3 linked regions of the Oryctolagus cuniculus genome follow. The protein of the gene in region 1 interacts with the protein of each later gene in a biochemical or structural test. Links are inferred from orthologs where the notes say so. Each region holds a gene or a part of one and is shown in the gene's direction. Other genes may lie near its edges.

What was found. The genes of interacting proteins can lie anywhere in the genome.
Region 2: the proteins of KPNB1 (region 1) and KPNA3 form a complex in vitro, tested with the Homo sapiens proteins (2 studies listed by BioGRID and IntAct, with this or other methods). The link is inferred for Oryctolagus cuniculus from reciprocal best matches to the Homo sapiens genes KPNB1 and KPNA3.
Region 3: the proteins of KPNB1 (region 1) and KPNA4 form a complex in vitro, tested with the Homo sapiens proteins (2 studies listed by BioGRID and IntAct, with this or other methods). The link is inferred for Oryctolagus cuniculus from reciprocal best matches to the Homo sapiens genes KPNB1 and KPNA4.

What each region holds. Positions count from the first base shown.
Region 1 is NC_091448.1:24,007,804-24,015,619, forward strand, and holds part of KPNB1 (importin subunit beta-1), read left to right. Parts: intron 1-159; coding exon 160-290; intron 291-2,764; coding exon 2,765-2,912; intron 2,913-3,191; coding exon 3,192-3,263; intron 3,264-5,401; coding exon 5,402-5,546; intron 5,547-6,609; coding exon 6,610-6,692; intron 6,693-7,176; coding exon 7,177-7,284; intron 7,285-7,816.
Region 2 is NC_091440.1:69,011,528-69,019,343, reverse strand, and holds part of KPNA3 (importin subunit alpha-4), read left to right. Parts: intron 1-3,067; coding exon 3,068-3,199; intron 3,200-4,068; coding exon 4,069-4,197; intron 4,198-7,451; coding exon 7,452-7,556; intron 7,557-7,655; coding exon 7,656-7,727; intron 7,728-7,816. UniProt on the Homo sapiens protein: Functions in nuclear protein import as an adapter protein for nuclear receptor KPNB1. Binds specifically and directly to substrates containing either a simple or bipartite NLS motif.
Region 3 is NC_091435.1:120,212,773-120,220,588, forward strand, and holds part of KPNA4 (importin subunit alpha-3), read left to right. Parts: intron 1-206; coding exon 207-296; intron 297-394; coding exon 395-424; intron 425-514; coding exon 515-567; intron 568-5,499; coding exon 5,500-5,595; intron 5,596-5,996; coding exon 5,997-6,082; intron 6,083-7,816. UniProt on the Homo sapiens protein: Functions in nuclear protein import as an adapter protein for nuclear receptor KPNB1. Binds specifically and directly to substrates containing either a simple or bipartite NLS motif.

The sequences.
Region 1 (7,816 bases):
GACATTAAGAAGCTGGATCAGAAGTGGAGCAGCCAGGGCTCCAGTTGGTGCCCACATGGCATGACTGCACTGCAGGCAGTGGCTGTGTGCACCATGCCGCAACCCTGTCCCCTGGAGTGGGGTTTGTTTCAAGACTGATACTAAATCTCTGCGTTTCAGGCTTTCTCCAGCCTGGCTGAAGCTGCTTATGAGGCTGCAGATGTAGCTGATGATCAGGAGGAACCAGCCACCTATTGCTTATCTTCTTCATTTGAACTCATAGTTCAGAAGCTCCTGGAGACCACAGACAGGTAACTGATCTCCTGTACAGAAAGGTGTGATGTCTGGGTGCCCAACTCTGTTACACTGTGTGGAGAATGCGCAGCCTAATCACAGCAACATGAGACAGGAGCGCACTGTATCTGCTCTAGAGAGGTTGAAAGTACACTTAAGAAATTACTTGTTAGGCCGGCGCCGCGGCTCACTAGGCTAATCCTCCACCTTGCAGTGCCGGCACACTGGGTTCTAGTCCCCATCGGGGCGCCGGATTCTGTCCCGGTTGCCCCTCTTCCAGGCCAGCTCTCTGCTGTGGCCAGGGAGTGCAGTGGAGGATGGCCCAAGTACTTAGGCCCTGCACCCCATGGGAGACCAGGATAAGTACCTGGCTCCTGCCATCGGATCAGCGTGATGCGCCAGCTGCAGCACGCCGGCCGTGGCGGCCATTGGAGGGTGAACCAACGGCAAAGGAAGACCTTCCTCTCTGTCTCTCTCTCTCACTGTCCACTCTGCCTGTCAAAAAAAAAAAAAAAAGAAAAAAAGAAAAAAAGAGAAGAAAGAAATTACTTGTTTACAGGGGTGGGGAATGGCTAGCCCATGGACATATAAGTTCCATGAAATCATTTGGTCTGTACCTGCCAGGGCAACCACAGATGGGACTTGAAATTCAATAAATCTAGTTATTTATTAGCAAACTAATTTTTTAAGCAGGCTAATTTTTAAGTTGATAATTTTTAATTGTCTTCTAATGATATTACAAATACCCAGTGGCCCTTAACAGAAAAAAAGGGTTCTCTACTCCGAGTTTAGGTAAGAGTTGGGGTGGGGACTTGACCTAGCAGTTAGGATGCTGTATTCCGTATTGGAGCGCCTGGGTTTGAGTTTGATGCCTGGCTCGCTGTGGCTCCTGATTTCCAGCTTTCTGCTAAGGTGGTTCCTGAGATGCGGAAGTAATTGGGTTCTTACTGCCGTTTAAATGGGAGGCCTAGATTGAGTCCTTGGCTCCTGGACAAATCAAGATAGTGTCTGGCTCTCTACGAGAGTATACCCCACTTTTCTTCATTCACCAAGAGATGTCATTTTATACAATCTTGCACAGAGCAATGGGGAAGGACTAGTTAAACACGGAAGAATTTATGTCTGGTCCCTTCCTGATGGTTTACTTTTCAGTTCACACAAAACACAAAGATTAGAGGTTGTCCCTAAATTAGGATTCCATTACACATTTCAGAAAGCCCTATTTCAGACCTTTTGAGAGATACAGAGAGCTCCCAATCTGCTAGTTCACCCCAAATGCCCACAGTGGACAGGGCTGAAGCTGGAACCTGGAAGTGCAACCCAGATGCCCCACATGGGTGGCAGGAGCTTCACTGCGTGTGTGAACACCGCTGCCTTCCCGCATGTGCATGAGCAGGCAGCTGGATCCAGGAGCTAGAACTGGGGATGGAACCCAAGGACTCCAGGGTGCAACATGGGCACTTAAAACATTAATTTATGTGTTTGAAAGTCAAAATTAGAGAGGGAGAGACGTCGGGAGAGAGAGATCTTCTGTCAGCTGGTTCACTGCTTAAATGAACTCAGCAGCCTGGACTGGGCCAGGCCAAAGCCAGGAGCAAGGAGCTTCATCCGGTTTTCCCACATGAGAAGGGAGAGTAGGAGTGCTTTTCCAGGCACTTTAGCTTTTTTTTTTTTTTTTTTTTTTTTTGACAGGCAGAGGTTTTTTTTAGACAGTGAGAGAGACACAGAAAGGTCTTCCTTTTTCCGTTGGTTCACCCTCCAAATGGCTGCTGCAGCCGGCGCGCTGCGCCGATCTGAAACTAGAAACCAGGTGCCTCCTCCTGGTCTCCCATGCGGGTGCAGGGCCCAAGCACTTGGGCCATCCTCCACTGCCTTCCCGGGCCACAGCAGAGAGCTGGCCTGGAAGAGGAGCAACCATGACTAGAACCTGGGGTACCGGTGCCACAGGGGGAGGATTAGCCAAGTAGCCGCGTTGTCGGCCCTTTTTTTATTTGAGAGGCAGAGAGAACCTTCAATTTACTAGTTCACTCCCCAAATGGCTGCAACGGCCGAACCTGGCCTGATCCAAAGCCAGGAACCAGGACCTTTCTCCAGGTCTCCCATGTGGGCTCAGGGGCTCAAGGACTTGGGCCATCCTCCACTGCTTTCCCAGGTGCACAGGAATCTGGATTGGAAGTAAAAGCATCTGGGACTTGAACCAGCACCCATGGGATTCTGACACTGCAGATAGCGGCTTAACCCACTAAGGCCTCAGTGCCGGCCCTGCGACTTGGGCATTTTAACAGGTCTGGAGACCATAACCAACGTAGACATCGCTTGCAGAGACCTTTTCGGAAGTTGGATTCTTGGATATTTTGTTGCTAAATTCAAGCCTGGCCTCCAATCATGTCAGCCTGGGTTCTTACTTTTGGCCAGTGTCTATGTCATAACAGCTCCTCTGTCCTTTCTTAATCAGTTGAGGTTTAAAAACTTTGCTGTGTGTTCTGTGCAGACCTGATGGCCACCAGAACAACCTGAGGAGTTCTGCGTATGAATCTCTCATGGAGATCGTGAAAAACAGCGCCAAGGACTGCTACCCTGCAGTGCAGAAAACAACCCTGGTCATCATGGAGCGGCTGCAGCAGGTGCTTCAGATGGAGGTGAGTCAGCATCCCTGGCTGTTGGAGAGGGCAGCACCTTGGACACACGACTGTTTGGTGTTTCAGTATGTATTTTCTTAGAAAGATGTCATGCTATACAGAAACTATTACAACTTTACATAAGCATTACTTGGCACAGTTTACTCATGTGCATGTGGGTTATGTGTTTTTATTTGCTTTCCTACATTAGTATTAATAAAAATAACTTAATGGTCTCAGGAACCCTAACAAGAGTGGAAGGATTCTCTTTAGAACACGTTTTCTTTTTTTATCTTATAGTCACATATCCAGAGCACATCCGATAGGATCCAGTTCAATGACCTTCAGTCTTTACTCTGCGCAACTCTTCAGGTATGCTAGAGCTGTATCACTTCTTACTAGCTCAGAGGAAGAAACTGCGTGTCTCAGGATGACAAGTTCATGTACACAGAGAGCTGTGCAGTTGTGTAGGTGTAGATAGATGGTGCTGATCTGAAGCTCTCAGAAGGCTTTGGGCTGTGATTGATTGGAAGAGTAATTTCCTGTCTATCCAGAAAAATCAAGTTTGTCTTTTTCACAGTATAAAGAAGGAAATTACTTAGTGTGTGATGGTCTCTCCCAGCTGTACAGCTAGTTTATATTAGCTCCTTTTAGTCTTGGTTGTCATTAGGTTGTACAAACTAAAATTAGATTTGACTTCCAACTATGGTTTACTTGGCTACAAATATATATCTTTGAGTTTCTACTTTTGTCTTTGTTGTTGTTAAACAAATTTTACATTTTCTATGTCTTAAAAAAATATGTGAAAGGCAGAGTGACAGAGAGAGGGGTGCGGAGAGTGGTCTTCTGTCTGGAGGTTCACCCCCAGATGGCCACAACAATCAAGACTGGACCAGGCTGAGGCTTGGAGCATGGCACTGCATCTAGGTCTCCTGTGGGGGTGGCAGGGTCCTGTGCACTCGGGCCATCGTCTGCTGGCTTGTAGGGTGCACAGTAGCAAGAAGCTGGAATCAGAAGTGGAGCTGGGACTCAAACCCGAGCACTACAGAGAGCAGTGGGGCTTCCCAAGCAGTGTCTTAACCGCTGCACCAGACACTCGTCATCTTTTGAAGCAGTTGCTGTTGGAAGCTTCGTTATCGTTGTGTTCACAGTAGGCTTTTTTGAGTGACTGGGGAACTGAAACGTCGTTCTCTGCTTATGAAGTGGCTAAGGAGCTATTTCCTAATCTGCCACAGAACAGGAAAGTTCTGGAATATTCATTAATGCTAACAAGGTCATCTTACCTGTAAACTTTGCCTTTTTTTTTTTTTTTTTTTTACCCCATACTTCATTTTTTAAGGCATGATGGTTAAGAGATCTTCCTTTTTCTTTATTTATGTGAAAGGAAGAGTTACAGAGACAGATGCAGAGAGACAGAGAAAGATCTCCCGTCTGCTATTTCACACACACCCCCCACCCCACCCCCCCAGTGGCGGCAATAGCCTGAGCTGGGCCTATCTGAAGCCAGGAGCTTCTTCTGGGTCTCTCACACAGGTGCAAGGGCCCAAGATCTTGGGCCATCTTCTACTGCTTTCCCAGGCCATAGGCAGAGAGCTGGATCAGAAGTGGAGCAGCCCGGACTTGAACTTGCACCCATATGGGATGCTGGCCCTGCAGGTGGTGGCTTTACCCACTGCGCCACAGTGCCAGCCTCCTGGGATCTTCCTTTTTCATCAGAGAAAATACAGGACTGCTTGATCTGGTAACATTAGGTGAGGCACATGGAAGAGTACCCTGGAGTGTGATGAGTATGGCTTGGGAGAAGTCAGACTGGCTTCATTTTTATCCAGACTGTTTTTTGACTGCTATCTGTATGTGGGTTGGAGTGTAAGAAGGCTTGTTTTTTATTTATGAGTGATGTAACCTTTAAAACAAATTGTTACTCCAGTAAGGCTGGAATATGGAAACTACTAGCAGTTTTTCAGGTGGTGGGACTAAGTGGGTTTTGTTTTGAGTCAAGAAATAGAATCTGGGGCTGGCATTGTGGCATAGCCACCATAGGTTAAGCCACTGCCTGTGACACCAGCATTCGATAAGGGCACCAGTTCAAGTCCTGGCTGCTCCACTTAAAATACAGTTCCCAACTGATGGCACCTGGGAAAGTGGTGTGCCCCTGCACCCATGTAAGGGACCTGTAAGAAGCTCCAGGGTCCTGGCTTTGGCCTGGCACAGCTCTGGCCATTGTGGCCATTTGGGGGGGAGTGAACCATTGGATGGAAACTTACTCTCCGTTTCTCTCTTACTGCCTTTCAAATATATTTATAAAAAATAAATAAATAAATAAACAGAATCTGAGATACTAGAGTGAGCATTGTAATGCATATTTGCACTGTCAAAGTTCTTAAGTTAAAGTGTATATTTGATCTTCCAAAAATGAACAAAGGACTTAATTTATTTTGAAAGCAAAAGGTATAGTGTTGTGGTTGAAGGATTTGGAGTTAATGGATCCTGAATTCTTACTTACTTCACAGAATGTACTCCGCAAAGTGCAGCATCAAGATGCCTTGCAGATCTCTGATGTGGTCATGGCTTCCCTGTTGAGGATGTTCCAGAGCACAGCTGGGTCTGGGGGAGTGCAAGAGGATGCCCTGATGGCAGTTAGCACACTGGTGGAAGGTTAGTGAGCAGGGACTGGGCAGGTGGTTTCTGTAGAAGGTAGGCGTTTGAGTGGCCTTGGAGAATTTTTTTCTTTTTTACTGCAAAAAGCGTAGATCTTTCACTGGGGTGTGAGTTGGTTCAAAGTTGGATTGAACCTGAGTGATTGCCTTGCCACTCTTAAGGTAAACGGGGCGCCAGTTTGCAGCTAAGTCAGATTGGTGGAAACTGAATTAATTCTCCCGTGTTCATCAGGTTCCTTCTTACCCTGAAAGTCAACTTACTTTATTGATGTTTGGCGCCTGTCAAGGGTGGAAGAAGTGAAAGTTCTCTCCTTCTCTGGCACTTGGAAGCCCCTGGTTTGGGCAGTAGTGCTTTGTGTTCACAGTGCCTGGGATGCCATAGGATGAAACATTGAACGTGCTGTAGGAATTCGGCATGGGGAAGCAAAAGCACATTAAAGAGCACTTTAGAAACCTAGAACATCTCTTCAGGGGTGACCTGCAAGTATTTTACTAAGGCCGTGCCCTGAGGAGGACTCTCCTGAGGTTCAGACCTACTTCTGGTGCGCAGAGCTTATGTCCAACTGAACTGGCATAATGTGACTGCCCTTAGAGGGCAAGGAAGTTAATCTTGGCTCCTGGAGTGGCTGATTCGTATCCAAAGGCCAGTGCTGCTTTTCTTGGCTGTGGCTTGTTAAGTGCTCGATGGGATTGCCTGGGGACCCTGTTTTGAAGCTAGCCTTAGGGCATGTGTTGTGATTAGCTGCCGAGACAAGAGGCCTTATTGCTGGCTCAGCCAGTTCACAGCTAACCTCCATCCTGTGTGAGGGCCCTACCACTTGGTTGTCTCAGCCAGCTAAAACCCCATCCTGCAGAGCACTGGCTGTGGTGTTATCTCGAGGGCCTAAGAATTAGGCCTTTCCAGCAGTTGTAAACTTGGCTTGTGCAAGACAGCCTTACTGTCTTAGAATAATTAACTCTCACTCCACCCTGCCATGTTGAGTAAGACTTAGGATGGTCATTTTTGTCTACATCTGCCGTCCTGTGATGCAGTCTTCAGCTAACAGTTTGTTTCATTACAGTGTTGGGTGGTGAATTTCTCAAGTACATGGAGGCCTTTAAACCCTTCCTGGGCATTGGATTGAAAAATTATGCTGAGTACCAGGTAGGATATGCTTTTGACATTTATGCAAGAGTCACTGTAGAACAGACAGCAGCAGGTTTCTGTAGCCTACATGGTTTCCCCAGCTTTGCTCCAAAAGTCCAGCTACCTTATTTGTTGCCTCTGTCTGAACAAGGAGTAGGCTGTGAAAAACAGGGTGTTGGCTACACCACGTGAGAAGCACAGAGCGAATGTCTAGGTAGTGTAAAGGCAACGGCAGAGTTACACTCTGAAGCACCCTAAAGAGGAAGGCTTTTTGAAACACCCCCCCACCTTGGTCTGCCACCGCCATCCCTGGTGAATATTGTCTTTCCTTACTCAGTGGTGTCTGGGAATAGTCCTAGTTTCCTTCCTGCCACATTGGTCTTAATCTCAGCAAGGGGGGAATAAGTTCAGGTGATGCAGGACCAGCAGCTGGGTAAAACTAATGTCTTCCCGTGCAGGCAGCTTTTTCTGTCAGGCCGATTATTTCCTTGGTTCTCTGCAGGTGTGTTTGGCAGCTGTGGGCTTGGTGGGAGACTTATGCCGTGCCCTGCAGTCCAACATCTTGCCTTTCTGTGACGAGGTCATGCAGCTGCTGCTGGAGAACTTGGGGGTGAGTGTCTGCGCATGCTCAGGAGCCAGCCTGGAGAATCCCATCGTCATGTTCACGATGATTCCAGTGAAAGGTTGTAAAGGATGCCTGCTTCACTTGGGGGGAAGCTGTCGATTACCAAGGAAAAGTAAACACATAATCTCTGCAGAGATGAACCACAGTTAATTTTTGAAGGGGCATTCAAGTACTTAGTAGTAGTTGCTTATTACAAATGAAAGTTTTGGGCCGGCGCCGCGGCTCACTAGGCTAATCCTCCGCCTAGCGGCGCCGGCACACCGGGTTCTAGTCCCGGTTGGGGTGCCGGATTCTGTCCCAGTTGCCCCTCTTCCAGGCCAGCTCTCTGCTGTGGCCCGGGAGTGCAGTGGAGGATGGCCCAGGTGCTTGGGCCCTGCACCCCATGGGAGACCAGGAGAAGCACCTGGCTCCTGGCTCCTGCCATCGGATCAGCGCGGTGCGCCAGCCGCAGCGCGCTGGCCGCGGCGGCCATTGGAGGGTGAACCAACGGCAAAGGAAGACCTTTCTCTCTGTCTCT
Region 2 (7,816 bases), on another chromosome or scaffold:
CTGACCGGGACTAGAACCCAGGGTGCCGGCGCTGCAGGCAGAGGATTAGCCTAGTGAGCCGCGGCGCCAGCTAAGTAGTTTTTTTTTTTTTTTTAAGATTTATTTATTTGCTTGAAAGGCAGAGTTACAGAGGCAGAGAGACAGAGGTCTTCCATTTGCTGGTTCACTCCCTAGATCGCTGCAACAGCCGGAGCTGCACCCACCCGAAGCCAGGAGCTTCTTCCAGGTCACTCACACAAGTGCAGGGGCCCAAGGACTTGAGCCATCTTCTACTGCTTTCCCAGGCCATAGCACAGAGCTGGATCGGAAGTGGAGCAACCAGGACTCAAACCGGTGCCCATATGGGATGCCGACACTACATATGGCAGCCCTACCCAGTATGCCACAGCACCAGTCCCTGTCGCTGATTTTTATTTATTTATTTGAAAGGCAGGATAACAAAAAGAGAGAGACAGACATCTTCCATCCTCTGGTTTACTCCCCAAGTGCCTACAACAGCCAGGGCTGGGCCAGGCCAAAGCCAGGAGCTAGGAACTTAATCGGGATCTCCCAAGTGCATTTGCTGGAAACTACCCAAGGCATTCCCACATGGGACATGGGTATACCAAGTGATGGCTTAATTTGCTGTGCCACAATTCCCACCCAGTTTTAATGATTTTATATGGTATTTTTTTATTCCTGTTACCTGTACAATGATCAATGGAGCTTATTCCATTTTTTCTCAGCTCATACTCTCATTTTTGAATCTTTAGGTTTATGTTTTTTGCCACACTTGGGACATTTTTCACCATTGTTTCTTCAAATATTTTTTCCAGTTCCGCTTATTAGAAGGGGCCCGGATGGCATTTGTTAGATCTAATGATATTGTGCTAAAAGTTCCTGAGGCTCTGTTCATTTTCATCTTTTCATTCCTTCTTTTTCTATTACTAAGATCGGATGGCTTTTATTGCTCTGAGTTTGAGTTCATTGATTTTTTTCCCCTGTATTTTTTTCTTTTCTGAAACTGCCTACCTTTGGTTTAGATATATTCATAATTGCTCACTGAAGCATTTGTTTGATAGTTATTTGAAAGTCCTTGTCCAGTGTCCTATGTCATTTCTGGGTTGGCGTCTGTTGATTGCCTTTCCTCTTTTGTGTTGAGATTTTTTCTGACTCTTGATATGGTAGTAGTTTTCAGTGTGGCTGTATGTTTGAGGTGTTAGGTTGTCTGACTGTGGTTTCTGTGTAAATCTTGTTACCTGTAACTGCCAGAGTGGTTGGTAGCCAGGCTTTGTTCACACCTACGCACCTGTATACCCCTGGCTGGGAGACCTTCTCACTGCCACATGGAGTAGTAAATGAACTCTACTCTTAGGCATAGCTTTTGCCCTCTCATTTTTTAAGTTGAAATATTTTTCCAGCCCTTGATCTACGATCAGATGTATTAAATGCTCACCATCAGACTCCCACTGACGTTTCCTCAGTCATTTGTTAGATGAAAGAAGCTTATACTCTAGTAAGGTTTTGGATAAAGGTAGAGCTAATGTTTTTGGCTTTGCAGGGTACAGTTTTGTGTGCCCCCCCCACCCCGCTCTTTTAAGATTTATTTATTTATTTGAAAGGCAGAGTTAGAGAGATTGATCTTCCAGCTGCTGGTTCACTCTCCAAATGGCTGCAGTGGCCGGAGCTGGGCTGATCTGAAGCCAGTATCCAGGAACTTCCGGATCTCCCACATGGGTTCAGGGGCCCAAGCACTTGGGCTGTCTTCCGCTGCCTTCCCAAGCACATTAACAGGGAGCTGAATTGGAAGTGGAGCAGCTGGGACTCCGACTGGCGCGATAAAGGATGCTGACACTGCAGGCCACAACATCAGCCCCCAGTCTCTGGCCTTCTGAGATAAACTCCTCACTCTTCTTTGAAGTCTCACACAGAGCTTAGGACAGGAGGTTCAAACAAAAACTAGAATTCATTTTTTTCTTTCCTTACAGGTAATTTGAAATTTCTAGTATTCTGACTTGCAGTAATGCTGAAGGCTTGGGTTGTATATGGTTTTATTTGCTCTTCTTATTTATATGCTTTTTTGAAGGATACATGATTTCAGGTGGCTGCTATTGTTCTAGGGCAGCAAAGTGTCAATAATACGAATCTTACATGAGACGAGGCTGGTGGTTGTATTCCTCTATGAAGACACCAAGGAAAGCCATGTACAAACTCCTTTATGTTGAATGAGTTCATGAAGTCTCTGAGCCTAGTTTTTTTTTTTTTTTTAAATAATTAATTATTTATTTATTTAAAAAGCAGAGATATTTATCTGTTTAGTTTTTAATAGTCTGCAAAGTTGAATTACTAAGCATTTGAAAATCAGTAGAATAGGTACATAATCTTTTTAGTGTCTTCTAGACTTGAAGTAGCATGTTGCATTGACCTCATTCTTTATATGTTTTCATGTCATTATTTGGTTTCTGACTTCGGGAGCGGAAAGAATTTCTGTTCTGCCTTTTTTCTTTTTTTGTTTTGTAAGATTTATTTGAAAGGCAGAGTGCCAGAGCAGGGAGAGAGAGAGAGAGATCTTTGATCCGCTGGTTCATTCTGCAAGGACAGCTGGGTTAGCATAGGTTGAAGCCATAAGCCAAGAATTCCATTTGGTCTGCTTCTTGGGAAGCAGAAATCCGACTATTTGGGCCATCACTGATACCTCCCACGGTCATTAGCAGGAAGCTGGATAGGAAGCCAAGACTGGTATCAAGCATTCTTATATGGGACACAGGTTTCCCAAACAGTGGCTTAACCTACTACACCACAACACCTGCCCCTCTGCCTATTTTTAAAATGATTTGTCTAATACATAAATGCTAAGATGGGATAAAAGTTGTCCCAGACTTCTATGTGTCAATTTTGTGCAGAGTGATCTGATACGGACTTTGAGAGAGGGTGTAAGGACCTACTACTTTCAGTAGATTGATATTTTTGTTTACATGCCGAAAGATAAAACTTGGTTACCTTTTCTGTCACCACTTCTGAGATATGTTCTGTAGTTTAGGCATTGAAACAAATACATGAACTGGATATTCTGCTTTCCTTCCTGTAGATTCTTGTAGACACTGTTTGGGCTCTATCATACTTGACAGATGGAGGTAATGAGCAGATACAGATGGTTATTGATTCTGGGGTTGTGCCATTTCTTGTGCCCCTTCTGAGCCACCAGGAAGTGAAAGTTCAAGTGAGTATTTTAAATCTTTTTTACTTGTATAGAATTATGGCTGCTATAATTAGTTAATTTATACAACTGTGCTTAAATTCTGTCTATAAACACTTATTTTCCAGATTTTTCCCATAGTCCCTTATGATGATTTTGTTGATTTCCAAATATTTGTCTCCCTCAGATTGTTTGCTGGATTTCAGACTCATAGCTAGTTGATTCTGACCATTTAGACATCCTCTGAGAAATCCTACAAGCTTTCCATTGTATTCCAACCAGACAAAATTGAAATGATCTTCTCCCATGAACCTGTTCCTCTTCCTGTATCCCCTTTCAGTGAATAGCGTGGTCTAAGTTAAAAACCCTGAATTCTTTTTTTATTTTACATTCCATTATCAAGTCTTTTATGATTATTATTTTTTGGTATAGCTTTCAAATCTGCCTCTCCTTACCTGTATTGAGCTGCTATTTAGTGCAAGATTCATGTTTTGTGTATTTTTTTATACTTCTGATAATTCTGATAGCTGCTACTGCCCTACTTCTGCTAAAGTGACTGCAGCTCTTCTTTTAACATCTTTTTGTGGTGCCAATTTAGTAATAGGTAAAAATTGCTGTTTAAAAATAAATATTTGGTTTTTATTTTAATTCCCCTCTTTTTAAATTTTTTGCAAGAATTTTCACATAGTTTCTCCATAAAGTTCCATTTTTTTCTTGTGGGATTGCTGTTTAAAATTCACAGCTGCTCAGTCTGCTTGATGCCTAGTCTGAGAATGAAGAAAGTGTTCATCGTTTACCCTTTGCGTTTTTACATTTTCTCAGAATTATGAAACACATTGACTCAGTTTCATCATAAACAAACAAACTTAGAGAACATTTTATCCCCACTCTAGACGGCAGCACTCAGAGCAGTTGGCAATATAGTGACCGGCACTGATGAGCAGACGCAGGTTGTTCTCAATTGTGATGTCCTGTCACACTTCCCAAATCTCTTATCACATCCGAAAGAGAAAATAAATAAGGTAAGACATGTAATGTCCTCATCATTATATTTCTTGTTTTTTGTTCACCTCGTTTTTAACTGTCCCCTTGTTTCTTTGATATTCATTTGACTAATTTTCTTCAAAACCACTGTAATTAAGATGAGAATTGTTTTAAATGCCATCTGTAATTGTTTCTTTGAACTTTTTTAAAATTTATTTGAGAGGCATGGTTTTTTGAACTTTAAATTTTTCCTCTAAGAGGTTCCCGGATTATCACAGAATAAAAAGTATTTTTAGATCAATTTTTTTTTTTTTTTTTTTTTTTTTTTTGACAGGCAGAGTGGACAGTGAGAGAGAGAGACAGAGAGAGAAAGGTCTTCCTTTGCCGCTGGTTCACCCTCCAATGGCCGCCGCTGCAGCCGGCGCACCGCGCTGATCCTGGCAGGAGCCAGGAGCCAGGTGCTTTTTCCTGGTCTCCCATGGGGTGCAGGGCCCAAGCACCTGGGCCATCCTCCACTGCACTCCCTGGCCATAGCAGAGAGCTGGCCTGGAAGAGGGGCAACCGGGACAGAATCCGGCGCCCCAACCGGGACTAGAACCCGGTGTGCCGGCGCCGCAAGGTGGAGGATTAGCCTATTGAGCCACGGCGCCGGCTCTCAATTTTTTTAATTAAAAAAATATTTATTGAGAATCAGTGATAAAGGGAGCACTTCCATCCCCTGATTGACTCCCCAGATGCCTTCTGAGGCTGAGGCTGAGCTGGGCTGAGCTGAAGCCAGGAGCTGGGAACTCAACCCAGGGCTCCCCCGTGGGTGGCAGGAACTCGTTTACTTGAGCCACCACTCTTGCCTCCCAGCATGTACATTAGCAGGAAGCTGGAGTCAGAAACTGGAGCTGCGTATTGAGACTCATATAGGATGCAGGTGTCTTAACTGATGTGTTAAGTGCTAGGCTTTATATTTAAATAGATTGAGGAGTAGACACAGCATTAAATTGGTAGCCCTAGGTGAGCGAGCATAGAAAATCTGCCACTGAAATGAATGGTATCCATTCTTTTTTTTTTTTTTAAGATTTATTTATTTATTTATTTGAAAGTCAGAGTTTACAGAGAGAAAAAGAGAGAGAGGTCTTCCATCCGATGGTTTGCTCCCCAAGTTGGCCTCAATGGCCAGAGCTGTGCTGATCCGAAGCCAGCACCCAGGAGCCAGGAGCTTCTTCCAGGTCTCCCATGTGGGTGCAGGGGCCCAAGGACTTTGGCCATCTTCTGCTGCTTTTCCAGGCCATCGCAGAGAGCTGGTTTGGAAGTGGAGCAGCCGAGTCCAGAACCGGCGCCCATATGGGATGCCAGCGCTTCAGGCCAGGGCGTTAACCTGCTGCGCCACAGCACCGGCCCAATGGTATCCATTCTTAAAGAGAGAATTTAATCTCCCTATAAAATTGAGATCTAAAGTGGAGATCCTAAATTCAAAGGTCATAAGAAACTGTTACTTTTTAAGATTTCAAACTTTATATATAAATCTATTGTTAATTTTGTAATACTTAATTCTTTTTATGTGTGGCTTTCTTCACATAGCGTATTTTCAGAATCATTCATTTTGTAGCATGTGTCAGAACTTCATTCCTTTCTTTTTATTTATTTATTTATTTGAGTGGTAGAGATAGAGAGAAGGAGAGACAGAAAATTCTTCCATCCACTGTTTCACTCCCCATGTGGCCACAATGGCTGGAATGGGCCAATCCGGAGTGAGGAGCTTCGCCCCGGTCTCTCACGTGGGTGCAGGGGTGCAAGCACTTGGACCATCCATCCTCTACTGCTTTCCCAGGCCATTAGCAGAGAATTGGCTCAGAAGAGGAGCAGCCAGGACACTAACTGGCACCCATATGGGATGCCAGCATTGAAGGCGGAGGCTTAGCCTACTGATCCATGGTGCTGGCCCCAATGTAGTTTTGTTTTTTTGTTTTTTTGTTTTTTTTGTTGTTTTTTTTGACAGGCAGAGTGGACAGTGAGAGAGAGAGACAGAGAGAAAGGTCTTCCTTTGCCATCGGTTCACCTTCCAATGGCCGCCGCGGCCAGCGCGCTGCGGCCGGTGCATCGTGCTGATCCGAAGCAGGAGCCAGGTGCTTCTCCTGGTCTCCCATGCAGGTGCAGGGCCCAAGGACTTGGGCCATCCTCCACTGCACTCCCGGGCCACAGCAGAGAGCTGGCCTGGAAGAGGGGCAACCGGGTCAGAATCCGGCGTGCCGACCTGGACTAGAACCTGGTGTGCCAGCGCCGCAAGGCGGAGGATTAGCCTAGTGAGCCACGGCGCCGGCCCTCAATGTAGTTTTATCTGCCTAAATTGCTGCCATTCCCCAAACAAAGCAGAATTGATCATTTCTTCCTCTGTTTCATAATTAAATATTAATTATCTAATAATTAAAATAGTTGCTTGACTATATTTTGACGGCTAGATTTTTAATGAAAAGAAGGTTGTCAAAAATCATTTATAGATACAGTTGTTCAGTGAAGATGATGAAACCAGAAACTTTGAGACTCTAGGCCAATTATTTTTTACTATAGAATTTTCCACAATATAAGGTGATTGTTATAGCTGAGTGTATCCATAATTGGAAACAGCTAAGAAATGAGGAAGCCAGATAGAAGTAAGTAGAGAGAGGTTTTGCTCTGTGATACAGTATGTCCTTAAATGAAAGTATCATAGGGGGAAAGGAATAAGTATGTATGAGATGCCTACTTGACTAATGGTAACTAATATTATAATACACCTATCTGTGGCTTGCAAGTCCTTTACGATTTGAATATTTGTATTCTATAAATACATCTTAGACTAGTTAGATGCTTAGTTTCTGTAGAATAGTTGAATTAGTATTTCTTGTGACTAAATGTTTGTAAAGCAAAGCAGCTTTATTTAACATAGTATTCAGAAATTCAATCTTATGTTTATTTCTGTCTTTCAGAGGGAGCTAATATAAAGAAATATAAGCTCCATAGAGATTTTTATGTTTTGTTTTCTCCTATATCATCATTCTCTAGAGAAATGCCTGGTGGCTAGTGGACTTACATATTATTGAATGATTAAGACCAGATATACGAGACCCAAATATTATAGATGGAAGTTTGCTTGTAACTCGCTTAAAATGAGAAGCTTTATATAACCTAATCCTTTTTAGATGCAGTCTCTTTAACATGGGCAGCTTTGTTACTGTGTATGTAAGATATCTTAAAATAAAAATATAAAAGCATTAAAGATATGATTTCTCTCATTAAAGTGACCTGTATTTTATTCAATTAGGAAGCAGTATGGTTCCTTTCCAACATAACAGCAGGCAACCAGCAACAAGTTCAAGCTGTAATAGATGCTGGATTAATCCCTATGATTATTCATCAGCTTGCTAAGGTCAGTTATATCATGAGTTCCTTCGTGTTTGCTTTGCTGTTACAACCAAGGCTTTTTGGACAAAGAATTCATTTTATGATTTCTTTTTTCAACCTTCAGGGGGACTTTGGAACACAAAAAGAAGCTGCTTGGGCAATTAGCAACTTAACAATAAGTGGCAGAAAAGATCAAGTGAGTTTGACAAAACTCTCATTTTAATAGTGGAAAATATACTATTATGATGTTTAGGAGTTGCAAATTGTTTTTAAGCTCTGTCCTGT
Region 3 (7,816 bases), on another chromosome or scaffold:
TGGTTCACGGTTCATTAAAAATGTAATATTTGGGGTCTGGGCCTCATTGTTGCTTAAGGGTTTAATTCACAGTTTGGTTTACTATTTGGCATTTGAATTTTACTTTCAAAAGGCACGCCATTCAGTTTGTAGGCACAGGATTGCCTAACTTACAAATGTATGTAACGTTTTTTTTAAATGAGATTCTTTGATTTTTTTTTTAAAAGAATAAAAGAGATGAACATCTCTTAAAGAGAAGGAATGTACCGCATGAGGATATCTGTGAAGACTCTGATATAGATGGTGATTATAGAGTGGTAAGTTGTTAATATTGTGCTGATTCAATGAAAGTTTTACATAAATAATGGAATTTTAAGATGGCTTTTAATTAATTTCTTTTTAACTTTTTTCCCAGCAAAATACCTCTCTAGAAGCTATTGTTCAAGTAAGTTGGGATTTATTTTCTCTGTTTATTTGTTAGACTTGATACTAATTACTGTGCATTTACAACATAAAATTATTTTATATTTTATAGAATGCTTCAAGTGATAACCAAGGAATTCAATTAAGTGCAGTTCAGGCTGCTAGGTAAGTTAAATTTTGAGGACATGTTTCAGTTAAAACTTGAACAGAGGTTTTATTTTGAGTTGTTAACTATGTGTAATCCTATGAATCAGTGTTAGCTTTGATGGCAGATAATAGAAAACAGTCATAGATCATTTATCCTAAAAAAAATGTTCTCTGATTCAGAGTATTAAAACTGTTAGCAATGAACTGTGTACTTTCAACACATTTTCTGCGCTGAAAGGTGTACTTTAAATACATTGAAGCTTTATTCTGCATAATATATAGGTATTATGATAGGAAAAAGGTCACTTGACAGATCAGTGCCACAGAGTGGTAGAAAAACATCATTTGCAAAGCTTCTTTTGCTAACAGTTAACCAAGTAGCTAATTCTTCTCACAATGTTTATATTAATCAAGCAGTACATAAAGAATTATGAACTCACTGCATCAGTGTATGGACAAATAGACATTAAGATTTAGAGGTGCATATGCTCTCAGTGTCTAACTCGGCTGGAAATACCAAATTATCTTGCACATTTCTGTTACAAACTTAAGTTTCATATTTTAAGGGAAGAGCCAGAAAAAGTTAACTACTGAGATCTTTGCATAAACAGATAGGTTGAGAAAGATACAGTTGTATCATAATACAACATAGTGGTTGCTTTGTATATTTATGAATATAAGAATAATACCTTATGTTGTGATTATCAGTGGGAAAGAGACCTTATACAGGAAATTGATCCTAGTTGCAGAGTTTCATAATAGGGGCTGATTGTGGTACAGCCAGGTAAATCAACTCTGGCAATGCAAGCATCCCTTTATCAGAGTGCCATTCACATCCCAGCTTCTCTGCATCTGATCCAGCTCCATGCTGATGTGCCTGTGAAGGCATCAGATGGTGACTCAAGTGTTTGGGCCCTTGCTGCCCATGTGGGAGCTCTGGATGTAGTTCCAGGCTCCTGGGTTCAGCCCTGCCCAGCCCCAATCATTGTGGCCATTTAGGGAGTAAACCGTTAGATGGAAGATTACTATCCACCCCCTCCTTCATTTTCCCACTCTTTCCCACTGCCTTTCAAATAAGTAAAATTTTTTTTTAAATTTCTAAATAGAAAAAGATTACATAGGCCCATCCAGTGTCTTGTCTAGTAAATGAATCCCTTTTATAATTATTTGACTTTTCCTACCTTGTGTATTTACCTTAATCTAGAACAGATAGGGACATTATAGAATTACAGTGTTAGACGTACCACAGATAAAAATAACTTCTAAAGACTTTTTCATGCAGGAAAGAATTATAGAACTATTCATATCTCAAAATGGCAATTGATGTTTATACGAAGAATGATAAAGAATCGGTTATGCTTGGGGACCCACACTGTGCCATAGGCTGGCATCCCATATGGATGCACACTAGTCTCAACTGCTCCATATCCAATCTAGCTCCCTACTAATGTATCTGGGAAAGCAGGGCAAGACAGCCCAAATAATTGGGCCCCTGCACCCATTATGGGAGATCTGGAAGATCCTTGCTCCTGGTTTCAGATCTGACCATTTCAGTCCGTTGCGGCCATTTGGGGAGTGAACTAGTGGGTAGAAGATCTCTCTTTCTGTAACCCTGCCTTTCAAACAAATAAATAAATATTAAGAAAAACTTAAGTTGTCTTAAAAATAAAAAATCAGTTAATGCTCGCAGTTGTCCAAGTTAATGGACTATTCTTTCCAACATGAGTTCTGCATGAAAATTAAAGCCCAGTGCCCCTGAAACAGAGATTCTCAGAGTACTGTCTGGAACCTTGGGAGATCCTGAGACAGTTTCAGGAGTCTGAAAGAATAGTCTGGTTTTCACAATAATTCTGAGACTTGACTTGCCCTTTTTTGTGGTACTAACCTTTATGTTGGTGTTGCAGAAGCACTTACAGATTTAAAACTTCTGGTACCTTAGTATAATTTAAGATAGTGGCACCAAACAAACTTTTTTTTTTTTTTTTCATTTTCGATTCTCTTTATATACAGAAGATCAGTTTAGCATACATTAAGTAAAGATTTCAAGTTTGCTCCCACACAGAAACATAAAGTGAAAAATACTGTTTGAGTACTAGTTATAGCATTAAATCACAATGTACAGCACACTAAGGTCAGAGATCCTACATGAGGAGTGAGTGCACAGTGACTCCTGTTGTTGACTTAACAAATTGACACTCTTGTTCATGGCCTCAGTAATCACCCTAGGCTCTTGTCATGAGCTGCTAAGGCTATGGAAGCCCCCTGAGTTCACCGACTCTGATCATATTTAGACAAGGCCATGGTCAAAGTGGAAGTTCTCTCCTCCCTTCAGAGAAAGGTACCTCCTTCTTTGATGACCCGTTCTTTCCACTGGGATCTCACAGAGATCTTTCATGTAGTTCCCCCCTCCCCCCCAGAGTGTCTTGGCTTTCCATGCTTGAAATACTCTCATGGGCATTTCAGCCAGATCTGAATGCCTTAAGGGCTGATTCTGAGGTCAGAGTGCTGTTTAGGACATCTGCCATTCTATGGGTCTGCTGTGCATCACACCTTCCATGTTGGATCGTTCTCTCCCTTTTTGATTCTATCAGCTAGTATTTGCAGACACTATTCTTGTCCATATGATCCCTTTGGTTCTTAGTCCCATCATTATGATCAATAATGAACAGAAACTGATCACTGGGACCAGTGAGATGGCATTGGTACATGCTACCCTGATGGGATTGAATTGGAATCCCCTGGTATGTTTCCAACTCTACCGTTTGAGGCAAGTCAGCCTGAGCATGTCCCAAATTGCACATCTCTTCCCTCGCTTATTCCCACTCTTATATTTAACAGCGATCACTTTACAGTTAAGTTTCAGCACTTAAGAATAATTGTGTATTGATTACAGTATTCAACCAAAAGTATTAAGTAGAACAAACAAAAAAATACTAAGAGGGATAACATATTAAGTTGCTCATCAACAGTCAGGGTGAGGGCTGATCAAGTCACCATTTCTCACAAACAAACTTTATAAAATAATGTTGTATTCAGCATTATACCCTCAAAGAATAAAAACCACTTCTCTTTCAAAATGTCCTCAATGAAGGAGTAAAAAAAAAATCTTTTGTTAAATCTTGACCCTTGGTCTCATGGATCTTCAGTTGAAAGAGACTAGGTTAAGATTCTTTATAAGCATGTGGTATGGAAAAACACTTTTCATAGCATTTGTTACAATTCATTCTCTGTAGGTAAGGTATTCAATTCAAATGTAGGACTATGGCTCTGTAAGTACTCTTGAAATTCATTGATGATGTGTAAAACATACTACTTGAACTGGAAAGTAAGAGGTGTAAGATTCGAAGGGCCTGCAAATGAAATTGAAATGGTACATACAACCCACACATTATTGAGTTTTAGAGAATAAGATTTGTTAGGTTAAGACAGCCTTTTTGTGGAGCAGTTTAAAGCTAGGTCAAAGAATTTACCTTGATAAAGTAAAAATAAGCAACCATCTCTTAGTTTATATAGGGGGATGATCAGGTTAAGCTTTCTAAAACAATTCCCTTCATATAGTAGTGCAGAGGATTCCAGTTGGGTAAAGATTTGTGTTAGGCCACACTGAGGATTACCAGCTAAACCTTCAATCTTCTACATCTGAAAATAGACACTGGATTTTTTTTTTTTTTTCCCAATGAGGACAGGAATCTACGTGTATTATTTACCTTAGTATATCCAGCATCTCTTTAGGTATTTCCCTGTATGATGGTGTACTTACTCCATTTCTCTTTAGTTGCTGAAATGAAAATGTTGTTGAGCTTTTATGCTCTTTAATTTTTTAAGTGTAGAGTAGGATGAAGAATTGAACACGAATATCAGCAATAAAATACAGCAGCAATTTAAGTCTTTTGTCTTTTGACTGTTGTGACCTAGTGTGAATAATTTTGTATATTTTGGTGATCTCTTAATTCCTTTCTTAGCAAGGTAGGTGTTATATAGAGTTTGTCTAGTTCCTTCTCTGAGCTCAAAAGTAAGTAATACTAACATATATAAAACATGTAGATGTGGGCGTTTGGCACCTGAATTCCTATCAGAATGCCTGGAGATTCAAGTCCCACCTCCACTTCCAATTTCAGGTTCTTGCTAATGTGCCCCCTGGGAGGTAGCATGTGATTGCTCAAGTACATGGGGCATTACCACCCATGTGGAAGACCCAGATTCAGTGCTAGGCTCCTGGCTTTAGCCTGGCCTAGCTTCAGCTGTTCAGGGCATTTGGGGAAATGAATCAGCTAATAGAAGGTCTCTCTCTGTCTCTGTCTCTCTGCCTCTCAAATTAATAATTTACATAAAATATTTAATTTCTTTTTATAAGTTATCTTCAGGACTCATTAAGGAATAACATTGTACTAATAGTGGTTCATAATTGATATTTTTGTAATTTTTATTCATCTCTAAATTTAAGTCATAAATTAATCTTTTTATAAAATTAGCAAAAAGATTGCATTAAATAAGTTATGAAATATTTTCAGGGACCCATGTTGTGGCATAGTGGGTAAAACTGCCACCTGTAACACTGGCATTCCATATGGGTGCTGGTTCCAGTCCTGGCTGCTCCAGTTCCAATCCAGCTCCCTACTAATGTGCCCCAGAAAGCAGTGGAGGATGGCCCTATTGCTTGGGTCCCTACACCCATGTGAGAAACTGGAATGAAGCTCCTGGCTTCAGCTTGGCCCATCCTCAGCTGTTGTATTCATTTGGGGAGTGAACCAGAAGATGGAAGATCTCTGTCTTTTCCCCTCTTTTTCTGTAATTCTGCCTTTCAAATTCACATGAAATTTCCAAGTTGAGAATTGTACCAAATATTCAGATTTATGACAGTGTCAAATATGAATTTGGATCATTTTAATATTGTGTATCATCAAGTTTCATAAGGAGCTTATATGTATACATATATATTATGTCTTACAGAAAGCTTTTGTCCAGTGATCGAAATCCACCAATTGATGACTTAATAAAATCTGGAATATTACCTATTTTAGTTCATTGTCTTGAAAGAGATGACAAGTAAGTACAAGTTCTTTGTTTTTAATTTAGTATGTACCCTTTGAGAAGGAAAGATTTTCTAGTAGATAGTTTGATCTTTAAAGAAAAAAGACAGGAGCTATGGGATGGAATTGAAAAGTCAAAAGGAATGGGAAAAATGATGCAAATTATATTTATGCCAACAGATGAAGGTAAAAGCCAAAGAGGGACTTAGTTTAAGTTTTGAAAATTAACAGGAACTAGGTTGAGCATGTAGGTACTTGAGAAAACAAGGCCTTGGAGGTTTCAGAAATGCTGAATGTTTAGAGACAAATATTTAATATATTTAAAATACTTGTGGACAGCGATGTTGATAGAAATTTGTACCAATGTGAAAATAACTACTGTTTGAAGTTATTTGTTTTTGTTTATTTGTTTTGTAGTCCTTCTTTACAGTTTGAAGCTGCATGGGCTTTGACGAACATTGCATCTGGAACCTCTGAACAAACTCAAGCAGTAGTTCAATCCAGTAAGTTGCTTATTAACAAATAACATTGTATTTTTTCAAAAAAAAGTCAACAGAACCCGCTGATTCTCCTAAAAAAATATAGCTATTTATGTTGTAAAGTTATAGCTACTCAATAACATGTAGAGTTGTTGAAGTAGACCAGCCTAGCAATCTTATTCAGTTGACCAACACACTCTGTTTCTAAAACTTCATTTAATTCCTTTCAAAATCTGGGTAATTTCCTAATTGTAATAGCAGATTATATTATTATAGTTATACTTTATTTATAGGACATCAGAAGAAATAAAATTATTTTTCCCATTGCCATACTGTGTTTCAGCTTCTCTTAAAGAAGTTATGTTTTTGGGGCCGGCACTATGGCACAGTAGGTTGATCCTCTGCCTGCAGCGCCGGCATCCCTTATGGACGCCAGTTCTAGTCCTGCTGCTCCTCTTCCAATGCGGCTCTCTGCTGTGGCCTGGGAGAGCAGTGCAAATTGGCCCAAATGCTTGGGCTCTGGCACCTGCATAGGGGACCCAGAAGAAGCTTCTGACTCCTGGCTTTGGATCAGCTCAACTCCAGCCGTTGCAGCCAATTGGGCAGTGAACCATCAGATGGAAGACCTCTCTCTCACTCTCCCCTCTGTGTAACTCTGACTTTCAAATAAATAAATAAATAAATATTTTAAAATAGTAATAATAATACTAACAGGTATATTGTTTTCATGAGTACTATTTAATTTTTCCGCCAAAGAAATTAATAATTTTTAAAAGGAACTTTAAAAATGCATCTTAAATATGTAAGCAGTATACTTGTCTAAGCTTGTAAAATCGTAAGCACTAATCTTTTGATTTTGAAAGGGAACAAAAATGATATCTAAGTTAGTACCTTATTATGTAGATAGTTGTAATATTAGAAAAACAAATTACCTTAAATTCTATTAAAATTAAATTTTGGATTCATATTTTTTTTGTTTTATTAAATGTGATTTTTTTTTTGGTTTTATATGGTTGACTCCTAGGTAAATTTTATTTTTTCAAGACAATATCTTATTCCCTACCTTTTTCCTTTTCTGTTTCATATGGTCTTTAAAGATCAGAAAGAGGTTTTTATAAGTAATCATCATTAATCTACATGTATGAATATGAATACTTGTGTGCACCAAAAGTTAGCATTTAATCCATTTTCCACAAGCTTTTGAGGTACCTCATATTTAAATAGCATTTTTCAAAGTTATATGGGAAAGAAAGAAAAAGAGTCACTTGTTCAGTGTAATACTAGTCTGTTCAGACAAAGGCCTGTCTTGTGTTTGCCATCTTTATTGAGCAATACAATTACTTCCTGATTCAGAAGGTCTCAAGTGGTCCAGGAATCACTGGCCTGTCTGTTCAGCCACATGATGTTTATTTAAATTAAAGTGCTTAAAAGTTATTTCAATATTGGAACTTTCTTCTCAAATTTGATGAATTAATCTTTTTTTAAAAGAATTATTTATTTATTTGAAAATCAGAGTTATACACAGAGAGAGGAGGAGAGGCAGAGAGAAAAAAAGAGGTCTTCCATCTGCTGGTTCACTCCTTCACTCTCCAAACGGCCACAATGTCCAGAGCTGGGCCTATCCAAAGCCAGGAGCTAGGAGCTTCTTCTGGGTCTCCCACACAGCTGCTTTCCCAGGCCATAGAAGAGAGCTGGATGGGAAGTGGAGCATCCAGGACTCGAATCAGCGCCCATATGGGATGCCAGCACTGTTGGTGG